Linked DNA regions of Lepisosteus oculatus. The protein of the gene in region 1 interacts with the protein of each later gene in a pairwise test. Links are inferred from orthologs where the notes say so. Each region holds a gene or a part of one and is shown on either strand. Other genes may lie near its edges.

Region 1 (7,796 bases):
CATGTGTGGACGAAAACAAGGAAAGCCAGACAAACAAAAAGGCAAATGCTTTCAAAGTCCAGTTTTTAAGAAAACAAGGCACCTCCTGTCGCACGTAGGCAATACTTTGTTTTGTTGTTTTTTTTAAGAATGGCACACGGCTGTGAAAACAAATGAGTGCTTTATGAAACCGCACGGAAATCACAGGTCCATACCTCCTCACACACTTCCCGCACAGCGGCTACGCTGGGCTCTTCTTCTGGCTCCATCCCTCCTCCGGGAACAATCCACTTATCCGGATGCCGGCTGCTACTCACCAGCAACACCTGCAATACAGACATTCCCCTTAGCCACCCTCAATGGGACAGAAAGAGGTACTCCACACCCTTCCCACACAGCCTAAATACTCAGTCACCTCACACCCGGAGATGTTTTACTTCAAGCACGTCATGAGTAAGGCAATGTCCGTCACTGCTGGGTTTAACTTACCATGGCTGAACTCTGATCCACAGAGCTGGAGTAAGGGTCGGCATCTGATCTAAAAACTGCTTTTTCAAATTGCTAGTATTTGTGTAGCACGTTTCATCTCAAAAGACCCCAAAGCACTTCACACACAAGAGGGGGGCCCCCCGTGGTATCCACTACTGAAGTGCAGCCCCAGATCCTCAGATCAGCTGCAGAGGGGAGACACGACTTACATGAACAGAAGGGGAACTTTAGCAAGACCCGAGTGAGCGAGCCCAGAGTGGATTGATACCAGGACACCAGGGTAAACAGCCCTGCTCTAACATACTCCTAGGACATACCAATCATAGCTTCTATCCACAAGCAGTGAGACTGGCGAACACATTTAGCCATCCCCCTCGGACCACACCTACACCATCACCATCTACCTCATTGTAATTTATTTATTGTACGTCTCCAGTCATTGTGTACACGTCTGTATTGTTTACATTCAAACTGTCTGCATGTTTACTTGCACATTGTCTATTGTTGGTTTGTACATTGTCTTGATGCACTGTTTGCACTTTGTTTTGTTTTTTACACTTGTTTTACAATCGAGAGACTTTCTGTGAGTAAGAATTCCATTGTACCAGTACCGGTTACATATGGCAATAAAGTTCAAGTTCAAGTTAATGTTTTCAGACATTTTTGTGTCATTTACAAAGATGGCCTTGATAATTAAGTTTAGGGGAGTGAATACTCGCATGGTGCAGCCTCAGAGTGCTGGGGCCCTGGGTTCAATTCTCATGGGTTTCCTCCAACAGTCCGAAGATGTGCTGGTAAGTTAATTTGGCTTCTGGGGAAACTGGCTCTGGTGTGTGTGAGCATGTTTGTGTCTGTTGTTGTGTCCTGTGATGTGCTGTTGTGCCCAGGGTGTACCCTGCCTTGTGCCTGCTGCTTGCCAGGATAGACTCCAGCTCCCCCGTGACCCTGATTTGGATGAAACGTTGGTACTCCTTCGCGGGGAGTACTAACAAAGCTGGATTCGGTTTAATCGTGTTTAGATCTACATTTCATCAAACTAAGTGTTAAATGCTGAAACAAGCAGATATTTTGCAAACATCTATTTTGCACTGTATATTTTTAAATGAATAGCAAAGCAAAGGGACATTTCAAATGCGAGAACCCCTTGGATGCCCCCGATTACAGTCAATATAGATAACACTGCCCGGAAGCCCGCTATTTCCTTACAGAACACGAACTGGAAGAACACATAACCTGTCCCAGATAAGATTACACCTTAGCTGGCAAACCTTGACCTTTGTCCCAGAGTCTGATCATGGATACTTGAGAAATAATGTGAGCCCCAACATGAACATATTCCTCTTCTTTCCCCTCAAATTCATGTTCAGCCTTTTGTCTGTAAAGCTAGAGCCCTTATTTACTCACATTCCTTATTCTTTTTGGCTGAGGTTTGAAACGGAACTACATTTCCCCAGCACACCTTAGCGCTCGTCATGCATGGACCCACTGCTGAAATGTAGGCACTGGTATGTGGTCTGTTGGCGCTCCATCAGTGCCCTCCTGCCAACGTCTCTCTAAATCCTATTTTTATTTTCTGATGTCTTTTCGGGTTTTCAGAAAACAATGGCAGTGCCGGCTCGCCCGGAGTACCAGGAATACGCGGAGGCTGAAATATTTCACGGGTTTGGTGAAACACTTCTTTAACAAGTCACTTCCTTTTTTTTCCCCCTTCACTGAACAGAACTGGGCACAAGCGAGCCTCACGCCCAGTCGCTGCAGACTGCCTTGCGTCTCCAGACAGGCGGTACACAGCTGCCCTGCAAAGAGCTCTGGACGCTCAACATGCAAAGAACTAGTATTTGCAGGCGCACTGAGTGTCGGCTTTGGTATTGCAGTTAAAAAGGAGCCGTGCAGCGCGATGACAGTCTGGAATACAAGAAGCACATACTGCCCCCTGTACCTGGGCCAAAACACCAGAGGCTATCGAATACCCTTGCCCCCCTTCCCAACCTGTGCCTTTCTAACGCGCTGCCTGGGCTTCTCGACCCCGCGTTTTGATCTTGTCCTCCCTCCCCATGCTGTTAGTTAGCCCCCGTCACCCTTTACTTCTCTCTTTTCTACTAATCACTTTCTCTCCGTCTTTCTCTCCCCGATTCCCAGGGCCCTCGGCTCGCTGTGCTCACTCACCCACCCAAGGCCCAGTCCCACCCCCCCGACACCCCCGCATCCTCGGCCTTACCTCCTCTTCGCTCTCGCTCCTGAAGCACAGGCAGGCGGCCCGCTTTTTGTAGCCATCCCCATCGTAGGTCCGGGTCTGGTTCGACTTAAGCTTCATCATTTCGGGGCTCCACAGACCGAAACTTAAACCCGAACCTCTTGGAAACGTCGTTGCGTTCGACGTAAAGCCCACTGAAGGAAACCCCGGCTTTTGATTAATAAAAACAACTTCTCCTCCGCTTCATTTTCTCAGACCAGATCGCATCTTCGGCACAGACGCCATTATTAGAACACTGCGCAAACCGCGTAACCTTCCCTTCACCACTCGCACAAGCGCTGAAAACTCTCCCTAATCCGTTTCGCGAATTCCGCTCTGATCTAACGTAACAACGCAGCAGCCCACTACGTTTATGACGCCGGTTAAGCAACAGGACTAGACGAGTCTATGTGGATGACTGCTTGCGTAAAGTTCGTAAACCTTGCCATACAAAAGCAAAGGGCTACGCAAGTTTCTTTGTTGCGAGTTTACAAGATGCTGGCGGTCGTGAGGCAATGTGGCTTTTATGTGATTTATGACTGCGACACATAATTTACGAGGAAAATTGGTCTAGGCAATTCACGTTTATTTAATATAATTCCCGTAGGTATTATAATTAATGTTTAGTCTATTCTCTTGTTTGCAGTGGGGGATGAAGTCACTAGATTTATCACATTGTATAAAATTGTCCATTTGAAGATGAGGGCACCGTCTCGGCAGCAACCCCAAGGTTTCCTGTAAAAATCAGACAACATCTGCGAACCAAGCACGTCTGTAGCTTTTATTTGCACATCATTACCTATGCGATACAAAAAAACGGTGTTCTGGAGCTATACTTATCCGAAATAAAATAATGTTGTTCTGTGTTTGTAAATTACTACTGAAATAAATAAATCCCATTGTATTCACTGTGAAGCTATACACCTGTATACATTTTGGCGTACTTGAGTCGATATCAATTACTCTAGTAATACTCGATTTCCATTTCTCCTCGGACAAATGCGTTCTCTTTTGGGCTTCTGTGAATCTCCGATTTTTGCGGTATTGGGTACAAAAAACGACAACGGGCAATTCGGAAGAGAAGGATCGGGGTTATCTGAAAACTGCGCTCTTGATATATGGTCTTGTGAAGCCCGCACAATCGAGATTTGCAAGGGTGTTTTTTTCTTGGTGGGAGGTATTTGGCGTTGGGCCTTCGTCGTGTGATTGATGCAACCGCACGGGGGCGCAGTTCGCCATCTCTTCAAACGAAACCGACACGTTCTCGGGGGGGAATATTAGACTTCTGAAAACTGCACTTTTGCAAATTGAGGGTACAAACCTGATGTTTGAAGATTGACACCAGGGATAAAACAAGTAAGCAGGGGACTGTTTATTGGTACTGTTACTTCCCAGTACTATGTGTAAATCTTCAACCTGGACGTTTTCGCTCTTCGGCATATCATTAGCACAACATTTTTATTATGCAGCATACATTTGTGAGAATGATGGACGTTGTTTTGAAAAAGAAGCATTTTATAAGTGTTTTTGAGAGGTTCTCGGTATTGAGGAAGCGCTAAATGTTTTGTTACGTTTACCGTAGAAAAATATTTTTCTGTTTTTGATTCAGTCTGATGCGGGCATTCATCAACGTTATAAAATGCAGTATTAATTAATTATAGTAATTAGTCAATTACAAGCTGCTGGTTCCAGACAAAGCAAAATGTAGATCTTCCTATATACACTATTAGGCCGCTAAATAGTATGCAATAAAAAATACAGCTATATCACATTCAAGATTGTATTTGAATTCATGTATGATAGATATTAATTGTCAATCGTTTATATGGTTAACGTTTTTCAAAACAGTAAAAAAAAGTTCTGAAACGTGACTTACGTAAGCAATATCTATCAAACTGTCATCATACTGTTCAACAAAGTTGATAGTGGCACGTTTTCTATAATCCTCTAAAAATCTTAAAAGTTTGAAACGGGTTTTGGAAACTGCTCTGCGACGCAGTTCTTTTTTAGCCTCTTTTGAAAATTCTGTTGAAAATTAACAGCTTTGTGTTTGGCTGAAAATGATTGCTCGGTTTAAGAATAGTGATCAATTCAGCCTCGATGACGTTGTTCGTTTAGGTTTCTATATATAGTAGCGTAACAGTATTCGGATCATACAATGTGAGTTTGTGTGCATATCTGCCACAATTTTTCGATTTTCTTGTATGCATAGATCCTTTTTGTGTCTGTAGTGAAAATAAACCATCTGGTGGAAACCGTACAAAAGGTGAGATGGATTCAAGGTTATATAGAGAGGCTTACTGGAAACAATATATCTTGTAGAAACATGCCATGACCTCGTGTTTTGCTGGAGTATAGCCCAGGATGAGTTTTATTCTAAGAAGAACCAGAAAAGAGGTACAAGGCTTTTTCCATCCGAACTGTATAGCGATAAAAAAATGCACTCGATGACCTCATCGTCTCGGCTGCCGATTGGCGGAGTTCCGCCAGAACGCATCTGTGCACACGTGACTCGCCTTTCTGGGAATGTTCCTGGAAAGAGGAGCGCTGGTTTATAGGGAAAAATACGAAGCGCAGAAAATCTCTGATTCCCACACCGCCGAGGATCAGCCTTCAGCGCAGAAAGAATATACGGGATTGTAAAGACAAAGAAACGGTTACAAATAGGACGTATCACTGGAGCAATACAATGAAATCTCGGTGAAAGAAATGCTCTGAAGAGGTGTCAAGTCAGAATCCAACACACGAGAGCTGCCAACCTGCTTTTCCTTTGCTTTCACAGAAAGTGCGCTTATTTCGATGTAACACTGTCAGACTGGCCGATACGCTGTTTATGCTACTAGTCGGAAACTGATTTTTGTTTTAAATAGTGGGTAAGCAGCGAGTCAAGACTCGATATCAGTTATGATTTGGGAATAAATGAAACGGTCGCAGTTCCTTAAGAACTACACTAACTTTTAGCCTTTCGCTTCGGTCTTCACTCGTTCTCCGAGTGGAAGGGGTTAACCCAGCCGTTTTAAGGTGTAACTGGGACAAGCTGAAGAGTAGGCACTGGAGACTACGGTACTGCAGGGTTCCGATCCAGAGCCCATTGGTTTCTGCTGGCTGTGAACCGAGCGAGGTGAGTTCGTCGTCCTCAGTTTTTGTGCGTTTCAGCTCTTTAAAGACGATAAACGAAGATCACAGCTGCAGTTCGCTCGACAATTTGTAGACATGTCGATATTTAACCGACCAATTAGCAATGATATAAAATGTGTTTAATATTAATCTCTGACGGATACAGAGGAAACCTCACGTGAAAGTGCATGATAATCACATATTACTGTAATATAATAAAATATCATAGCTCACTGTGAAAGAGCTCAACAAAGGGGCGCTTATCCAGAAGTATGCTTGCTGTTTAGAATGTCGGTTATTTTTGGAAAATACTACTTTATCAGCTGCATTAAAATATAGGTCATTTTTTATTTTAACTAATAAGCCCGTTGAATTTTAAAACGACAAAATTCAAATGCTACAATCGGAAAGGAAATACAATTCAAATTAATATTTTACGAAAACACCACGATTACATTATTAATAATCTGTCGCTTACACGTACTGTATACCATAATCGCACTATAGAATCGTTAATTAATCAGGTGTTTATTTTTCAGATGGAAAATTAGGTCATTTGAGAAGACCTCGTTTTTTGAAAACCATGTTTTGAAAATCAATTAGCTGTTAATTTACTTGTGTGTTTCTTTTGCGATACGATTCTTTTGCATCGCTTTCCTTTCACGGAGATCAGACAAAAAATGAATATTACGAAATGATTCTTGATATCTTAGTGAAAAGATCGCTATTGTTTGCGGTCATTTTTTCCGCATGATGTTCCTAATGGCAGAGAAGCTCAGAAAGGGGTATTACCTTATAAGACCTCGGTTAAAATATCCGTGGTTTAATTACTGCTTATTGTTCTGAGCAGTCAATGATCAACCTAATTACGGTTATAAAGATCATGATATGACTCTTTTTTTACTTTTAAGACCTTTTGTTGAATATGAAATTAAGCAAATAATCGTAAAAATAAATCTTAAAATTAACGGGTTGTAAATCTACTATGTTTATTGGTAGGAAAACTTCTTACGCCGTAGTTTTAGAATGCCTGCATTTTTCTTCATAAAACGCTGATTGCAGATATTACAAAACGCAAAAAAATGTTTTTAACTAAAACTGAAGATGTGTGCATAATATGAATAGGCAATTGAGAGTTGAAGTTTTCACATTACATATATGGTCAGCAATGCCAGTTAAAAATGTAATGTTATTGTCGTGTGAATTCTGATCAAAAAAACGAAAATGTCCTTTCTGTATATACATTAATTTTTAATCAGGTAGTGAGTTTTTATCTTGATTTTCATATGTCCATGTTTGATTAAATTTGCAAGTCTAATACTGTAGAATAAAGCTTCCTTGATTCATGTTTTGCATGTACTTTCAGCTTTGCAATTCAACTGTAAATTCCCTGTTTTTTTAGATTTTGGATGGGGCACACACAGTGCGTTTCGCAGACTCCAGAGGCTGACACAGAGACGCCGTGGGCCGCGGGAGAGAGAGCGGTCACCACCACCACCTCTCTTCGGCTCCCGCTTAAGCCCACCGTTGACTCTGGGAAGGCGAACCGTATGATCGTGCCCAGCCTGCTGCCGGAGAAATCGCTCATCCCCGTCCGTTTAAAGGACTCGGTATCCGAACAACAGCGGGGAGAAACCACAGAGGAGCTCACTCGAGTGGAGAACGCCATGTCTCACCTCCACGAGTCTGGTTAGTTTTTGGTTGTTTTTATCTTCAACAAACAGATGGACGGACAGCCCTTTAACCTCTGTGTTTTGGGTTTGCAGTTAAACGGTAGTCTTGTTTGGAGCATGCGTACACCGGTGGCAATAACTTCTGTTGTTAGCTAGCTTCTACAAACTATACTTTTTTTTAAAGTACATATAGCCTATGAAACGATCATACAGATTAAGATTTATTTTAATAAAATGCCTATAGTATATTAAACAATGTTGCTTCAGAAAACTCATTTAAAAACCGAACACATTCACAGATACCT
Region 2 (7,325 bases), on another chromosome or scaffold:
AAAGAGACCAAAGCCCATGTCATCGTCAGACTCCTCAGACTCTTCCTTCTTCTCTTCTTTCTTCTCCTCCTTTTCAGCTGTAACGAGGAAAGTCCCAGTTAATTACAGTCAGCGCAGCAGGAATGACAAAATCCCGACTCTCCCATTCCAGGGGACCCTTCATTTACACATCATGGCAGGAAAGCATGACAGGTACGCTTAACATTTCTTCAAAGGCTTACTATAGAATATGTAATTGAGAATATCATTTATCTGTAAGTTACCTGGTAAAGACACCCATAAATCACATCATGGAACTGCCTAAAGCCTAAATTTCAGTCCGAAAAACCTTGATGACAAAAGCAGGCTCTTATTTACCCAGAAGGCTGTGCGACGAAGGCGCCAACTACTCAGCCGTGTGACTGAAGCCGATAACCTGGCTTCTTTCACAAAGCGACTGCAGGAGATCTGTGGAACAACTAGTTCCGAGCCTAGCTGGCCGAAACATCTCCTCTCATCTGTAACATTTCTTGACGTTCAGGTAGTTTTAAAAAAAAACAACACAAGTACTCGGGGGGTAAACTGTATTCCGCAAGACCCCCCATCGTCGAGTCATCCTGTAACAGTGCGAGCCACCTTCCGTAAAGATAAACACTCCTGCTTCCCAAGAAAGAGCTACGAAACTTTTCTCTGGGTGGGCAGGGGCAGCCGGTTTCTCCCGGCGGGGGTCCTTACCTGGGGCGGCGGCGGCGGGCGCTCCGGTGGCGGCGGCGGCAGCAGCGGGGGCCCCTCCGCCGGCACCGACGCTGCAGATCAGGCTGCCGATGTCCACGTTGGCCAGGGCCTGGAACGGAGGAGAGGCGAGGTGAGAGGAGCGCAGGCGTCGCCCGCGGGCTGGCCCCTCGGCCGGGGAAGAGCGGGGACCGAAACGGCGAACCGGGTTCGAACGTACCTCCCACCCCCCCCCAGGGCACTGTGATATTTCATTCGGAAAAAATCGTCAGCCGTGTCTCATGACCTCCTCCAGCAGGTCAATGAAATATTACATTACCTGCTCACACTAGACTGTATCCAGGGGATCTCCAATACCAGCTCTGAAGGGCTGTTGTCCACAGGTTTTCATGACAACTCACTTTCTACCACTAATCATCACACCCAGATCTCAATCTTCTGGCTAAACTGAATTATATTAGCAATTTCCCCAAGCTCTTTAGGTGTTGGTGCTTTTCACAGATTGCAGAAAACCTTCAGATGATCCATGCCCAGGACTAGAGACCCTTGCTCACACTGCCTTTATTGAGCCCGGTTTCAGTCACCTGAGCTTCAGTTTGCAGTTTGTCATGATGAGAAAAGCATTTCCCCAATAGTTTAAACAAAAAACCTACAGCACCATTAATTCTGCCACAATCTATTCTTTTTATATTAGACATCAAAGCAGATACCCATTCAATGAGCTTGGGTTTGAAGTAAAAGGCTCTTGAGAAAAAGGATTCTACCACGTGAACTGCCATACTCTAAACTCCAAGATTGAATATGCTTCCTATACAAAAGCTATCGAAAGTAATTGGCCATTTAAAAGTTGTTCAATGTTAGTTGTCATGTATTCTTCCTGTTGACACGCAACAGCTCCTGTCTGTGTCTTAATCTTAAACTTCACTAATATTGACATTAGAAATCCTCATAAATGCACCACTTTGATCACTGTACAGATTTCATCCATCTTTTTCATTAATGTAATCTTCATCTGAAAAAACCTCAAGATGCATTAATGATGTAATTAGTGTCAATTCAACTGTAAACAGTAATCTGCATGAAACAGACTAACTTTCAATAACTTTGGTGTTTAAGAATTAACCCAACTTTAAAGAGCACAGGTAAAAAGAATTCTTTAAAAGAAGTGCATGTGTGTGTCTACTGTGTGTGTAAGAAAAAGGGGCTTTTCCCCCAGTCTGAGGGGAAAAAGCCAATAAAATGTTAAAGGTGTTAAAGAAGCAGCAGGGTGAGACAGTACAGTAGCTCACCTTGGCAAACAGACCAGGCCAGAAGGGCTCCACTGTCACTCCGGCCGCCTTGATGAGGGCGTTGAGCTTGTCCTCCTGCAGAGACAGGGACCGAGTGAGGCTTCACATCAGCACGTCCACCCGAAGCACGCAGCAGGTGGGATTTATACTGGACAGTAACATCACAGGAAGCGAAACTGCACGTTTCATTCAACACCGTTAAAAGCACATTGCTCTCATCTGGCGCCGACTGTACTGGCATCATCTAGGCAGAGTTTAATGCTGGTGATCGCAATTTAAGAAAATCATAACGGGCTGGAACACGTGCATCTAGAACAGTTATACTGGACAAAAACTACTCCTATAATACAGGATCTCTTGCAGCTCCCTGGGAGAAAACACGTGTCCAGCAGTATAACAGTAGGGCCCAAGGTGCAGGCCAGGTGCTCCACAAGCAAAGTAATGAAAACAACCATGAATGTTCATTTAAATCTTTAAACTAAAGGTTTAATCCTCTCCACTCACGGAGGAGCCAACTGTAATATCACTGCACTTTATAGTACATGGGTGATTTAACTACGGCTTGTAAAAAAACACTGACGCCAAGCAGTCAAGTGACATTTTTACAAGCCACAAAGCGATTGGGACTTGTACAATCCGAGACCCAAAATGAACATATGTCAGCACTTTAAAGCATGCACCGCTAACACAAGCCGACACCGAAGCTGTCGTGCGAAGGCAGTGGACCACATGAAACACTTTCCGGCTCTCCGCCATGTTGAGTTGGACCCGTCTGACAGCGGCCGGGGGAGACTTACTGTGACGGTGACTTCATCATCGTGGAGGATGAGAGCCGAGTAAATACAGGCGAGTTCGGACACGGAAGCCATTATTCTCGAAGGTGGTAGGGTTTTTGGCGTTGGATGCCTAAATAAAGGAGTGCTAGTCGCCGGATTCAGAGGCCTTAGCTTCAGATGAAGGACCGAGCACCTTAGGCACCACACGTACTGGCTCAGCGGGAGCGGAAAGAGGAAGTAGAAGGGCGGGGATTAGCTATTTGAAGTGAATGTGACGTCACGCTAGCCTTGGGCGGAGAAAGACAGCGGGGCCACACGTGTGCGCTTGTGCAGGACTGCGGGCTGGTGGTTTTTAAGTTGGTGTTTCTGAGGTTGTTGAGAAGTTACCCGTACACAAATATGGATTTTTTTTCTTTGGAAAATCGTGTAAAGTAGTGTATAAAATCAACACTTTTACAATAGTGTCGGATCTGGGTTTTTTTAGTCCATCTACATTGATGAAGCTTACATTATTAGATCCTTTGGTACTTCGGATGCGTGTAATATTTTCTGATTTTAGACAGATTTTCTTACGGCCTGCATGGTTTACTTTGTTTTTTGGTTTAACTGGGGGATCCTTATTGGGGATGGGTGCCACGTCTCCGTACTAACCAGGGCACCAGGGTTAAAACGCTAGTAAGTTGTGTATATGTGTCAATATGTACACATTTTCAGCCGATCAGACTCCTCCCTGTCCCCCACCTTCACTCCTCCTGGTCGTGCCTCCAAGTGATCCTCTGTTAGATTTGGGCACTGGCTGATGTAACGTTAATATTCAAACAAGGACTTTTAAATCAGAAACCGAACTGTTCGAGGGCAACCCTATCCATTTGAAATGATTTCTTCGCTATATGCGTTAATTTTATTTCGTAACGCGGTGTGTTTGAATCCAGCGAATGTTTGCATTTCATAAGTTGGGACGGAAGCAAAATGCTAAAGGATTACAGTTACAGTTGTATTGTAAAAGGAGAGCTCAGGATTCAAGTGGTTGCCACCGTCGACGTTTCTAGTGTGTGTGTGTGTTAGAAAAGATGGGTGTTTAATTTAGAAAAATAAAAGTTATCCGATTGGGTGTTTCATGCGACAACGTCCCTGAAGTAAAGGCCATGTTAACATCCGCGGAGGGGATCCCGAGTCCAAGAATGACTTTTGTGTCTGCTGGTTCTCTTCATAGCATCAGTACCTGAAGAGCTGGGAGATGTTAGCAAATTAGTCCAATTAATCCCTGAGTAACTTGATTCAGGTCATTAACTGGAACGAAACACACTCCCTGACCAAGGGAATCTTCATGTACCAATAAACAGGTGAGTTGGGGGAAAAAAGAAAATAATTCAGTCTTGTAGTCAAGTTCAGATTTTCAATGTTTTGTTGTCACTTATCATACATATCAATTTTACAAAGTGTGTTAGTCATCTACTGCTCCTGGTTTTAATCTTTCCATGTTTCTCTTTGTGTAAGCAGTTCATCTAAACATAAGATCAGGAATAGGAAATAATAGTTAACATGGTTTATTTTATGAAACACTCAGAAAAATCTTTTTAACTACAATTAGACAAGCACTTTTCTCTGTTGTACTCAGACATAGTGATGGAATAGAGACAGAGCTGTAGGGTCTTTCAACATCCTGCTGCACAATTGCAGCTATTAATAGATCATCTAATGACTTGTTAATTTACGTGACACCGAATAGCATTTTTTTGGCTTCAAATATGGAGTTAAAACAGTAGCTCGGGGGTTATCGTACTGCAGGCAGTCTGAGCTCAGGTGCCTGCTCTCTGCTGTCAGGTTTTGCTCAGGAGGAACAGTGAGCTCAGGGGCAGGGCCAGCAGCAGAGAGCTGAGCCTGGCAGTGGTGGAGCCATTGGCGTTGCACAGGTTCGTCTGGCAGCAGGTCACCTGGTTGCGGTTCCCAGACGAGTCCACACTGGAACCGGACGCGGCCGCAGAGCAGGTGGTCTTGCTCATGCACGCTTTTACAATGGCCTTGATGTTGCCTACAGACGCAGAGAGAGAGTTTAATCGTGGCAAAACAAAAAAAAAAAAGAGAGAAAGTAGTTCTGAAGTTTCGTAGCTTGAAATATCCACTAAAAGTAGTTCAGGTGGGGAGCTGCGTCAGCATGCGTAGGCTGCAAAGGAACAAGTAATAGGTTTATTCCATGCTGAAAAAAAGAAGAAAGAAAACAACGTTTTGGCTGTGGAGCCTTCTTCAGGTGTGAGAAAGATAAGGCAGTCAGCAAAGGTAATGCTTGTCTTTCTCACACCTGAAGAAGGCTCCACAGCCGAATCATTTTATTGTCTTTCTTCTTTTTTTCAGCATGGAATAAACCTATTACTTGTATATTTACTAGAAGTAGAGTAGAGAGAGAGAGTAGCAGAGTAGAGGAGTTTATTGCCCTATGAACATTGGAATTCTTATTCATGGGTCGTATCCTCTCTCTCAGGACATACAGTACAACAGACTGCACCACACAATGTAGCACATCACAAACACAATCAATGACAAGAACAGGAACCATAAATATGTAGTAGTGAAAAAAAAACATGGCAGACCAATGCAAAAAGTGCACATGCAGATGGGCGTAGAGTCTGAGGCATTGCAGTCGGCTGTTGAGGATGCGTACTACAGTGGGATAGAAGCTGTTCTTGAGTCTAGTGGTCCGTGCTTCAGTAGTGTGGCACTGCTTGCCAAAGCGCAAGGGGGCAGAACAGTTTGTGACCGGGATGGTGGGATGCAAAATGACATATTATCATCAGTGGGATACTTTTTACCAGGTACTCCAGTAGCAAGGCTCTGTCCAGGGGTCATTCCTCACAGATTCATAAACTATCAATGCAATTGTATTCAGAAAATAAGTAAACCGAATTGAGACTAAATGTATAAACCCTTAATTCTCTCACATCATTACTTTTACGTGAAGCTGAATGGCCACTCTACTTAGTGCTCTGGCTTAAGCAGCTGTTGTTTTGTTTTCTTTTTCATTTTTGTAATGTGCCAGGCAACTTACATGAGCAACCATTCAACATTTAATAGTGCAGACACTCTTATTACCCATTAATGTCCAGTCGGTCCTTCATGTTCCGACCAAACTATATTGAACACAGTTCTAACTGTTAGGAAATTTGAATTCTCGCGTCCAAGTCTCAGTTGAAAAGAGACAAAACTGAATTATCAAGCACGTCAAATGAAAATCCACTAACCAGAGACCAGGCTTTCGGTCAGGGGTCCCAAAATCTGGGCCTGAAGAGGCCTACAGACCTCCAGGGTTTCATTCCAGCTGAGCTTAGTTACCTACCTGAAGCTTTAATTGAATTAATAAGCTGCTTTGCTTGGGATATTTGCAAGTACTTTTTCGCCTCAAGAGTTTGGGATTTGTTTGAAATGCAATGGTTAAAAGGCTGCCTCCAGTAGGGTTAAAATCTGCAAACCGTCACACAGTTCATCCCATTATTAAGTCAATAACAAATTCAATACTGTAACAACTTGGCTGGAACAAAAACCAAGAGGTGTGTTGGTCACAGGGCACAGTATTGGGAATTATTTTTGTAAGGAGATTCAATCAAGAATGTATATCACGTAAATAAATATGGTGGGAATGAAATTTGTACATCAGAAATGGTAAACAGAATATTACTCACACCTCAGATTATTTTGTAACCCTTTGGGACAGAATTTTATCAAAATTTCTCTTAAAGGAAACCATCTCCCCTACAGCTAAAGTGCCGTGTAAATGCATAAACTTTGCTATTGCCGTGCAGAGCTTTATTTTTTAAATCTGTAGATGTTTCTTCTTAAAACATAGGTGTTTCTTATAAGCCAGGTGTTTATTATGTATCGTTCATCATATGTATCATAGATCATCTTAAATATCGCTTATCATCGGCGATCGCTGCACTCGATCCTTGTTATAAGAAACACCTAATAAACAAAGGAGAAGCCAGATTTTAACAAGTTGCTGAGGCTTGGTGTTTGTTACCCAGTTTATAAGCAGGTAAGCGGGATTATTGACATGATTACATCTGGCCATCCTGCAGGAGGAGAAAGGCGTGTGCACTGTCTACTGATCGGTCTCAGTTTCTCACCTGAAGTGACTACAGTTGTCATGCATGTGTCCAGGGGGGCCTGACAGCTCTGTGTGTTCTTGTTGCAATCTTCATTGGTAGATGTCGATGGACACACATAGCAGTCTAATGCAACAACTGAGAAAAAGGAAAATGGTGTTTTCATTGACTAGTGCCAGTTACGAGTGAGGCAGTTGTAATAATTATGTACTATTGTGTAGGTGCACCAAATAAAGACAAAATTCAGATTCTCACTCTTTTTTTTAAACAGTACAATTAATAGGGGTGGTAAAGTCTCTGAAATAAAACCACAAAATAAATTAGCTTATTTGTTATTAACAAATCTGAGACAAATCTGAACAGTGTGTGGTCCATGGCATTTTGCCTCTTCATAATTTTAATGAATGTAATCAGAAGTTACTATGACACTGACTATGAAAATAACCCATTTG
Region 3 (7,095 bases), on another chromosome or scaffold:
GAGGAGAAGCAGTAAACAGAGCAGGATTTACTTTGGCTCCATGTTCTAAAAGTAACTTCACGCACTCTATACTTCCAGCGGCACAGGCGTCACACAAAGGAGTACTGCCATCGATGTTTCTTGCATCAACCTAAAAACACAAACATCACACCGCAATCAATCCAATTCTCCTGAAATCGCTGCATGCGGAATTGATATTTCAATATCAGTTGGCATCCTTCAACACTTTTAGACTATGTTTGCTGATCCGTTGCTTGTTTGTTTCACAGTGTCACTACAAAAAGTACTTCGGAAACGGAACTGGCAAAAATTTTGCATATGGTGATGTGAAGACCACTAACAACTGTTCAAAACATTTTTTCATAACAAACGTAAATAAAATAATATTTAACAAAGCTGATACAATACATGTTCTCACTGCATCCAGATATATACCTTTATTTACCATCTAAATAATGCTGTAGACCTCCTTATGCCAGATTTGACAAGAGGTAAAATGCAGTGAACCTTTAATTATTCTACGTGTGGCAATATAATATCAAGATTAAGTCTCACCTGTGCACCTGCTGCCAGCAGTAACCGGACACAGTGAGTCTGGCCTTGCAGGCAGGCTTCATGAAGTGGCGTGATGGAGTCGACGGTGACTACGTTCACACAGGCTCCGCTCTCGATTAGCTGCTTCAGCTGCAGGACCTGCCCATGGCTGGCTGCCTCGTGCACTGCGGTTCGATCAGCCCAGAACCCTATGGGCAAAGGCAAAAGCAATAAGGCAAGCAAATAAGCTAGCAATTCTTGAAAAGAATAGAGAAGATGCTCAGATTAATTAGTTACTAACACCCAGATGAGCAAGATGGGCTGAAAACTGTACCTCTTACTTCTACTGATCTCAAATATACAGAATGTGACAGGCTCTCCCAAAACCAGGCTACTCAAGGTCAATTTTCAGGCTTAAGTGTTGGAATGTAGAATTCAGGAAATTTGTTCTTGATAAAAACCTCATTTATTATATTGTGTCTGTAAAATTTTAAAAAATGTACAATAATGTTGACTGCAAAGGAACAAGTAATAGGTTTATTCCATGCTGAAAAAAAGAAGAAAGAGAACACAACGTTTCGGCCGTGGAGCCTTCTTCAGGTGTCAATAATGTTGACTGTTGCTCTCAATTTAACCTTTTGCACGTAAAATAAAAAAAGAACTGAGTACTGAAAACTCCAGCTTAACACAGCAGCTTACAGACATTTGAGTAAACAAATAAAAGTGCATTCTTAAATTAAAGTTAGCTAATATTGGACATTTCAGCCCAATATAATTTAACAAATTAAAAATACAAATTCAAATTTTGTCATTATTCTACAGGTCTTTCTCTAGTGTGGTTACACTATTATGGCAATATTTCAGCCTTACATATCTAACACCACACTTATTCAAGGCCCCTCAGGACAATTCCGGATCACTCAGATGACATCTTGTACCTCCAGCAACCTTGTTTACTGTATCTCTTGCAGTAAATGCCCAGGCATCTACATTGGAGAAACAGGAAGGAGACTCCAAGATCGCTTCAGAGAACATGTTAGGGCTGTGAAGATTAGAGATTTCTCCGAGGCTATTGTTTCTCATTTCACCTCTGACAGCCATGATCACACTAATCTCTCCATCTGTGTTCTCAAAGATGGTTTTCCTAACTCCCACATCAGAAAGACTACTGAAACTAAAATTATCCTGCAGTTAGGATCACACCTTTTCCCCTCTCCCAACAACAGACTAATTTTCTTCTAAATTCTCTCTATTCATTGTTGTTTTCATTTCACACCTCTCCTCACCTATCCTGACTGGCCACTCTGTCTTTCCCCTGATCCTGCCTGCGGCCCCTCCTCTCTCCCAGCTTTTGTTCTCCTGCTACATTATCTTTGCTTACTGCCCTGTCTTTCTCACACCCGAAGAAGGCTCCATGGCCGAAACTTTGTGTTTTCTTTCCTCTCTTTTCAGCATGGAATGAACCTATTACTTGTTCCTTTACAGCCTACACATGCTGATGCAGCTACCCACCTGAACTGTTATGGCAATAGCAGCTTCTGATCAATGATCACCTGTGCTTTAGTAAATTGTTGCCAGTGGTATCCTACTGAAGAAGCCGGATATAATTTTGTCACTACTAGCAGTTCTTTTGGAGGCAAGATTAGTGGTACTACGATCTTGCTCTGACGTTGTTCCTAACTGACTTAAACAACATTTACAAACCAGAATCATAACCTTGCAAACTGAGGCACCATTACATGTTACTCTTAGGAACATTATCAGCACCTAGTGATGTGCCTGAGATTGCCACAGGCATTACAAGTTGTTATCATGAAGTAGCACACTGACATGGTTCACAACCTGTAACTAGATATTAAGATCTTGTGCAACCGGTTTTACAGCTTGTCCTTGTAAACAAGCCATTGCACTCTGCATAACGTCACACGGACTGCCTTTTCTCAAGCGTATATCGTGATGCAATTAAGCTAAACTGCCTTATTTTTATTACACCTTTGACTGTGTCACTTTTGATACAATAACACCGTTTCGAGATAGAACATTAACTGTCTTCACACATACTGTAATACTACTGTAACATACACGTCTGTATGAATTCCTAATCCTTGCCTAAAGCAGTAAAAAAACACAGCTGGATAATATTTTACTTGAGTGTTGTAGTTGTTCTTAGCAGATAATAAGATTGAACTACTTCCTGACTATCACAAGCAACCCATGTTCCCAAAACAAGGTCTCCGAGTCTATACAGGCACGCATGTATTGGAATCAGGTAGCTGGTGTGTGTTTTTCAAATTGGACAGCAGAACAGCTGAACTCTAGTCCAGATCTGTGTAACTCACCAATGTCTCCTATGTTCACTCTTGCCGTGCTGGTTTCCATTAACGCGTTCTTTTACCGCTATGCACAAAACCAAACAATAAACTATTTTAGTATAATATACATACAAAGCTGTTTATACACTGATGGTAAAGAATCACGTGGTCCGACTATTTTGAATCGTCAAAGTCAAGGGTTACAGGATACAATGTGCACAAAGGCTTCATGGGAATAGTAGTTTGAACATTTTCAGGCGTCTACTGTTGCTAAATGAACCTTTTTAATTTGGCAAGACAAGACGTTTCCAAACTGAAATGTTTTGCACATGCAAAAAATATTTTTAATATTTGCCGATACTATCCTATTGACGATTTGAAAATAAAACACAATATAGATTTGCGAGCTGGCAAATATGCACAGCTGGCAATATGGGAAACAAAATATGAATGGGGAAAGGCAGGGGTCAGTGAATACTATGAAGTAGACCTTTAAGTAATCACTTTAAAGCTCTCCGTCGAGCGTAAAAATAAATTTGTGTCACATTAATTTTAAGGTTCTAGACGAGGGTATGTCTAACGTATTGCAAAGTGCTTGGTTGTTGTTTTCCATATACATTCAAATTTCACTACTCGTGTTTATAATGACATGAACAAACGGCCCCCGGATTGTTACTGGTAATGTTTTATACAGACTGTCGCCATAATATATATATACACCAATTATATAAACTGCTTATTCAAAATGTGCTTAACACGGTCATTTGCTTTTGCTATGGAATGCATGTTCATGTTAAATCTTGTAGAACATCACTTGTGACATTTCCTTACCTAAACAAACAACCCAGTAAGTCCTGAACGCTATTAAATGTTTATATAAAGACCTTGATGTATAAGAATGATGTGGGTGTTTTTACTTCAATCACACTGTCTCTCAAAAAAGAATAGGCAACAGAGAGATCAATCAGGCGGATCCCGCTGATCAGCATGTTAAAGCAGTAAAAGGCATTGATAAAACTCCACTTCATGCATTATTTAATCCTATTGTTATACGACTGATGGAAAACAATGACATACTGTAGAAATCTGCTCACCTCCCCACCCCCCTGGAGTGGACTGATCCAGTGACCCCTAACCTTTCCCCTCAAGGCTCACCCAATCGAGCCTCCCCTCTATTAAAGCAGGGGGCATCTTCTTTCTTTCTGTCTTCGTGCTTCGTGTTGCTGTCCTTCAGATGAAATGTAAAACCGAGGTCCTGACTCTCTGTGGTCATTAAAAATCCCAGAGTGTTTTTTTTAAAAGAGTAGGGGTGTCCTGGCCAAACTTTCCCATCGGTCTTTACTGATCATGGCCTCCTAATAATCCCCATGTATGAATTGGCTTCATACTGTTCCCTTCCCCCCTAACAGCTGATGTGTGGTGAGCAGACTGGTGCACTATGGCTGCCGTCGCATCATCCAGGTGGGAGCTGCACATTAGTGGTGTTGGGGAGTCTGTAAAGCCCTTTAGAGAGGATTGTCCAGAAAAGCGCTATATAAGTGTAAAGAATTATTACTAGGGGAAAGGATAAAGATATTTACACGAGGTAGGTCACGAGGGAGCTGGAGCCTATCCTGGAAAGCAGCAGGCACAAGGCAGGGTACACCCTGGCCAGGACACCAGTCCATCGGAGAGCAGACACACCAACCCATACTCAATCACACCTAGGGCCAGATTTCCCAGAAGCCTATTAAAGGAATATGGAATTGTTTGCAAGATGCAAGGAGTGGTCTTCAAGTTTGTCTAGAGTGGCAGGTACGAGCACGTCACAAGAAACTGGATGCATCAGGTGGTCGAGGAAGGGGGGAGAGACGTGCTGGATTTCCCCCTAAAACTCGACTGCATCTTTTTCTGCAACCTCTATCAGGTGTTGCGAGATTCGCTCAGCCACAGGTACCAGTACTTCATCAGGTTGTGGTTCTCCTTCCCTATGAGGCACCTGATCCAGTGACAAACACAGAACCAAAAGCGGAAAAGCGACTGGAGACCTACACCCACCCTGTCAAATGGATCCGGAGGCGAGAGACCATGAGACAACCAGAGCTCTGCACCAGCCACAGGGCCCTGTACAAAGAGGTGAGAGGCCAACTGGTTGCCAGAGAGTGGCTGCAGGTACTCAGACAAGTCTGGGAAAGGACGCAGCCAAAGGAACTCAACAAAAAGTTAAAAGACTTTAACTGGATGGACGTGTACCAGAGGCTGGCAATCAGAGAGGTCCGCTACAGACACTCGCTCACCAGGAACCCACATTCCCCTGGGACACATTTTTCGAGGAGATGCCGGAGAAAGTGTCCTGGAGCTGTTTCTTCACCAAAGCAGCATGGGTCAGAATGGACAATACTCCTGGGAGCGGGAACGAAGCTAAGCTGCCAGTATAAACTGCTGGGGCTGGCCCGATTGGAATAGACAAAAGGGACACAATACCTGCTATGGCTGCTAGTGTTCCTAATAAAACAAGGACTGTGGAACATGAGGAACACTTCTCCAGCACAGAGTGGGAAGCGAGGGAGCTGGAGGAGAGGATGCTTGCAAACCTCAGAGGGAGAATGAAGTGCAATGTTACCAAAGGAGTGCTGGAAGGGACTGTGGGCCCTGTATAGGGAGAAAGGAGGAAAAACCTGTTCATTTGAGCTCCTGCAGAGAACTGGGCAACTGCAGTTTCAGTTCCAGGACAGGGAAAAGAGACGGACAACAGCAAGTGGTAGGTCTCGGAGGGACTCTTTTTGTGCAAATCAAGCCCCAGCAACCACGTGCACAGATTGAAAAAGGAGAAACACCTTTAAGAACTTTACTATAACATACTAGAGAGTTTATGCTTTGCGAGAGTATGTACTCATTGCACGATTAATGTATCTTGTGCAATAAAGTTGATTTTGAAAAAAACCCAACATGGCATTGTTTGCAGGCACCAGGTCAACAATTGCTGCCTCCTGTTCAACATTGAAAACCTTGCCTTGACCACCAGGACAGGGTTTTCTGTCAGTTCTATAAATTAAAAAAATAGATTTCTACTGGACAAAAAATGACTCCATAAATTTCAGAAGAGAAAAAACTCCAAAAATGGATTTTATTTACTAATTTATTACTGTCCATCAAGTTTATACAGTATACGATCTCTTACCTATTCTCAAGTCCAATAATTGATGCTACAGCTGAACACGCCTCTGGCCTGGCCACTGGTTCACGCAGTGAACGACCAGGATCAACAGTGCCCATTAATATTTCTTTTTGGCACCTCAACTCTCTGCAGTCTTCCTCCACCTCTTCACCCCTAGGGTTGTGGTACCCCTCTTCCTCCTCTTTTGACCATCCATCTCCAACTGAACAGTGACCCTCTTCATGTGCAATTATGAACTGAGTGATATTTTAACAATTAGCTTAAGATTACTTGCATGTGTGTAATACATATGGGAGTAATCCCACGTGGGAGTAATTATTATCAACTGGGAAAAAATGAGTTTTGTTTGACCGTATATTTCTACTTGATTTTTATGTCATTCGTAGAGCATCATTTTTATTGTTTACCACAAGAGGTGACTGACATTTGGATTTTCTGGGAAAGCAATGATAGATTACTTAGTTTTACAAAAAGAAATGTTTCTGTTTTGCTCATTTTAGTTTTGATGATGTGAGTCACAGTTGCAAATTGTTTTAGCAATCTAGGAAAACTACAACAAAAACATTAAAAAAGGACATTTATAGAAATGAAGTCATCATAGATACTAAAAGATATTTGAAAAGCCAGAAATTGCAACAGAGGATAAAATAATTGATAACATCTCTTCTCAGTGTTACAACAGCAAAAGAATAATAAAACGTAGTAATAAAGGACATGGTAACAGTAAAGGATGGATTAAAGTGACTCAGAGATGATAATGGGAAATCTATACTGCTTTTAATGAAAGTGAAAAGGTTAATGTATTAATTGAATTAGTCACTCAATTATTTACCACGGAAGTGATACCTCTCAAGGTCCTGCCATAACCATTCAACATAACTATTAGGTCCAGACCTTGACTTGCACTCCCTAAAATGCTAAACACAATCTCCTTCAGCCATTCTATTGTAGATCTGCTTGTGTGTTTAAGATCGTCTTGCTGTATGACACTTTGCATTCACCTTCAGCTGACGAATGGCAGAGATTCTCCTCCAGAAATTGCTGATACAATGCCAAATTCATGGTTCCGTCAATGATGACAAGCTGCCCAGG

Evidence for each region. The genes of interacting proteins can lie anywhere in the genome.
Region 2: the proteins of nudt3b (region 1) and rplp1 interact in a two-hybrid assay, tested with the Homo sapiens proteins (2 studies listed by BioGRID and IntAct). The link is inferred for Lepisosteus oculatus from reciprocal best matches to the Homo sapiens genes NUDT3 and RPLP1.
Region 3: the proteins of nudt3b (region 1) and ankyrin repeat and SOCS box protein 13 interact in a two-hybrid assay, tested with the Homo sapiens proteins (2 studies listed by BioGRID and IntAct). The link is inferred for Lepisosteus oculatus from reciprocal best matches to the Homo sapiens genes NUDT3 and ASB13.

What each region holds. Positions count from the first base shown.
Region 1 is NC_090700.1:29,595,445-29,603,240, reverse strand, and holds the start of nudt3b (diphosphoinositol polyphosphate phosphohydrolase 1), read right to left. Parts: upstream 3,008-7,796; 5' UTR 2,786-3,007; coding exon 2,687-2,785; intron 306-2,686; coding exon 195-305; intron 1-194. Other genes in the region: suppressor of cytokine signaling 2, read left to right, coding at 7,228-7,507. UniProt on the Homo sapiens protein: Cleaves a beta-phosphate from the diphosphate groups in PP-InsP5 (diphosphoinositol pentakisphosphate) and [PP]2-InsP4 (bisdiphosphoinositol tetrakisphosphate), suggesting that it may play a role in signal transduction.
Region 2 is NC_090705.1:33,982,745-33,990,069, forward strand, and holds the start of rplp1 (large ribosomal subunit protein P1), read right to left. Parts: upstream 3,022-7,325; 5' UTR 2,870-3,021; coding exon 2,798-2,869; intron 2,076-2,797; coding exon 2,001-2,075; intron 824-2,000; coding exon 715-823; intron 78-714; coding exon 1-77. Other genes in the region: prostate stem cell antigen-like, read right to left, coding at 4,597-4,808, 6,895-7,011. UniProt on the Homo sapiens protein: Plays an important role in the elongation step of protein synthesis.
Region 3 is NC_090702.1:43,654,301-43,661,395, reverse strand, and holds the start of ankyrin repeat and SOCS box protein 13, read right to left. Parts: upstream 3,022-7,095; 5' UTR 2,914-3,021; coding exon 2,874-2,913; intron 744-2,873; coding exon 556-743; intron 131-555; coding exon 1-130. UniProt on the Homo sapiens protein: May be a substrate-recognition component of a SCF-like ECS (Elongin-Cullin-SOCS-box protein) E3 ubiquitin-protein ligase complex which mediates the ubiquitination and subsequent proteasomal degradation of target proteins.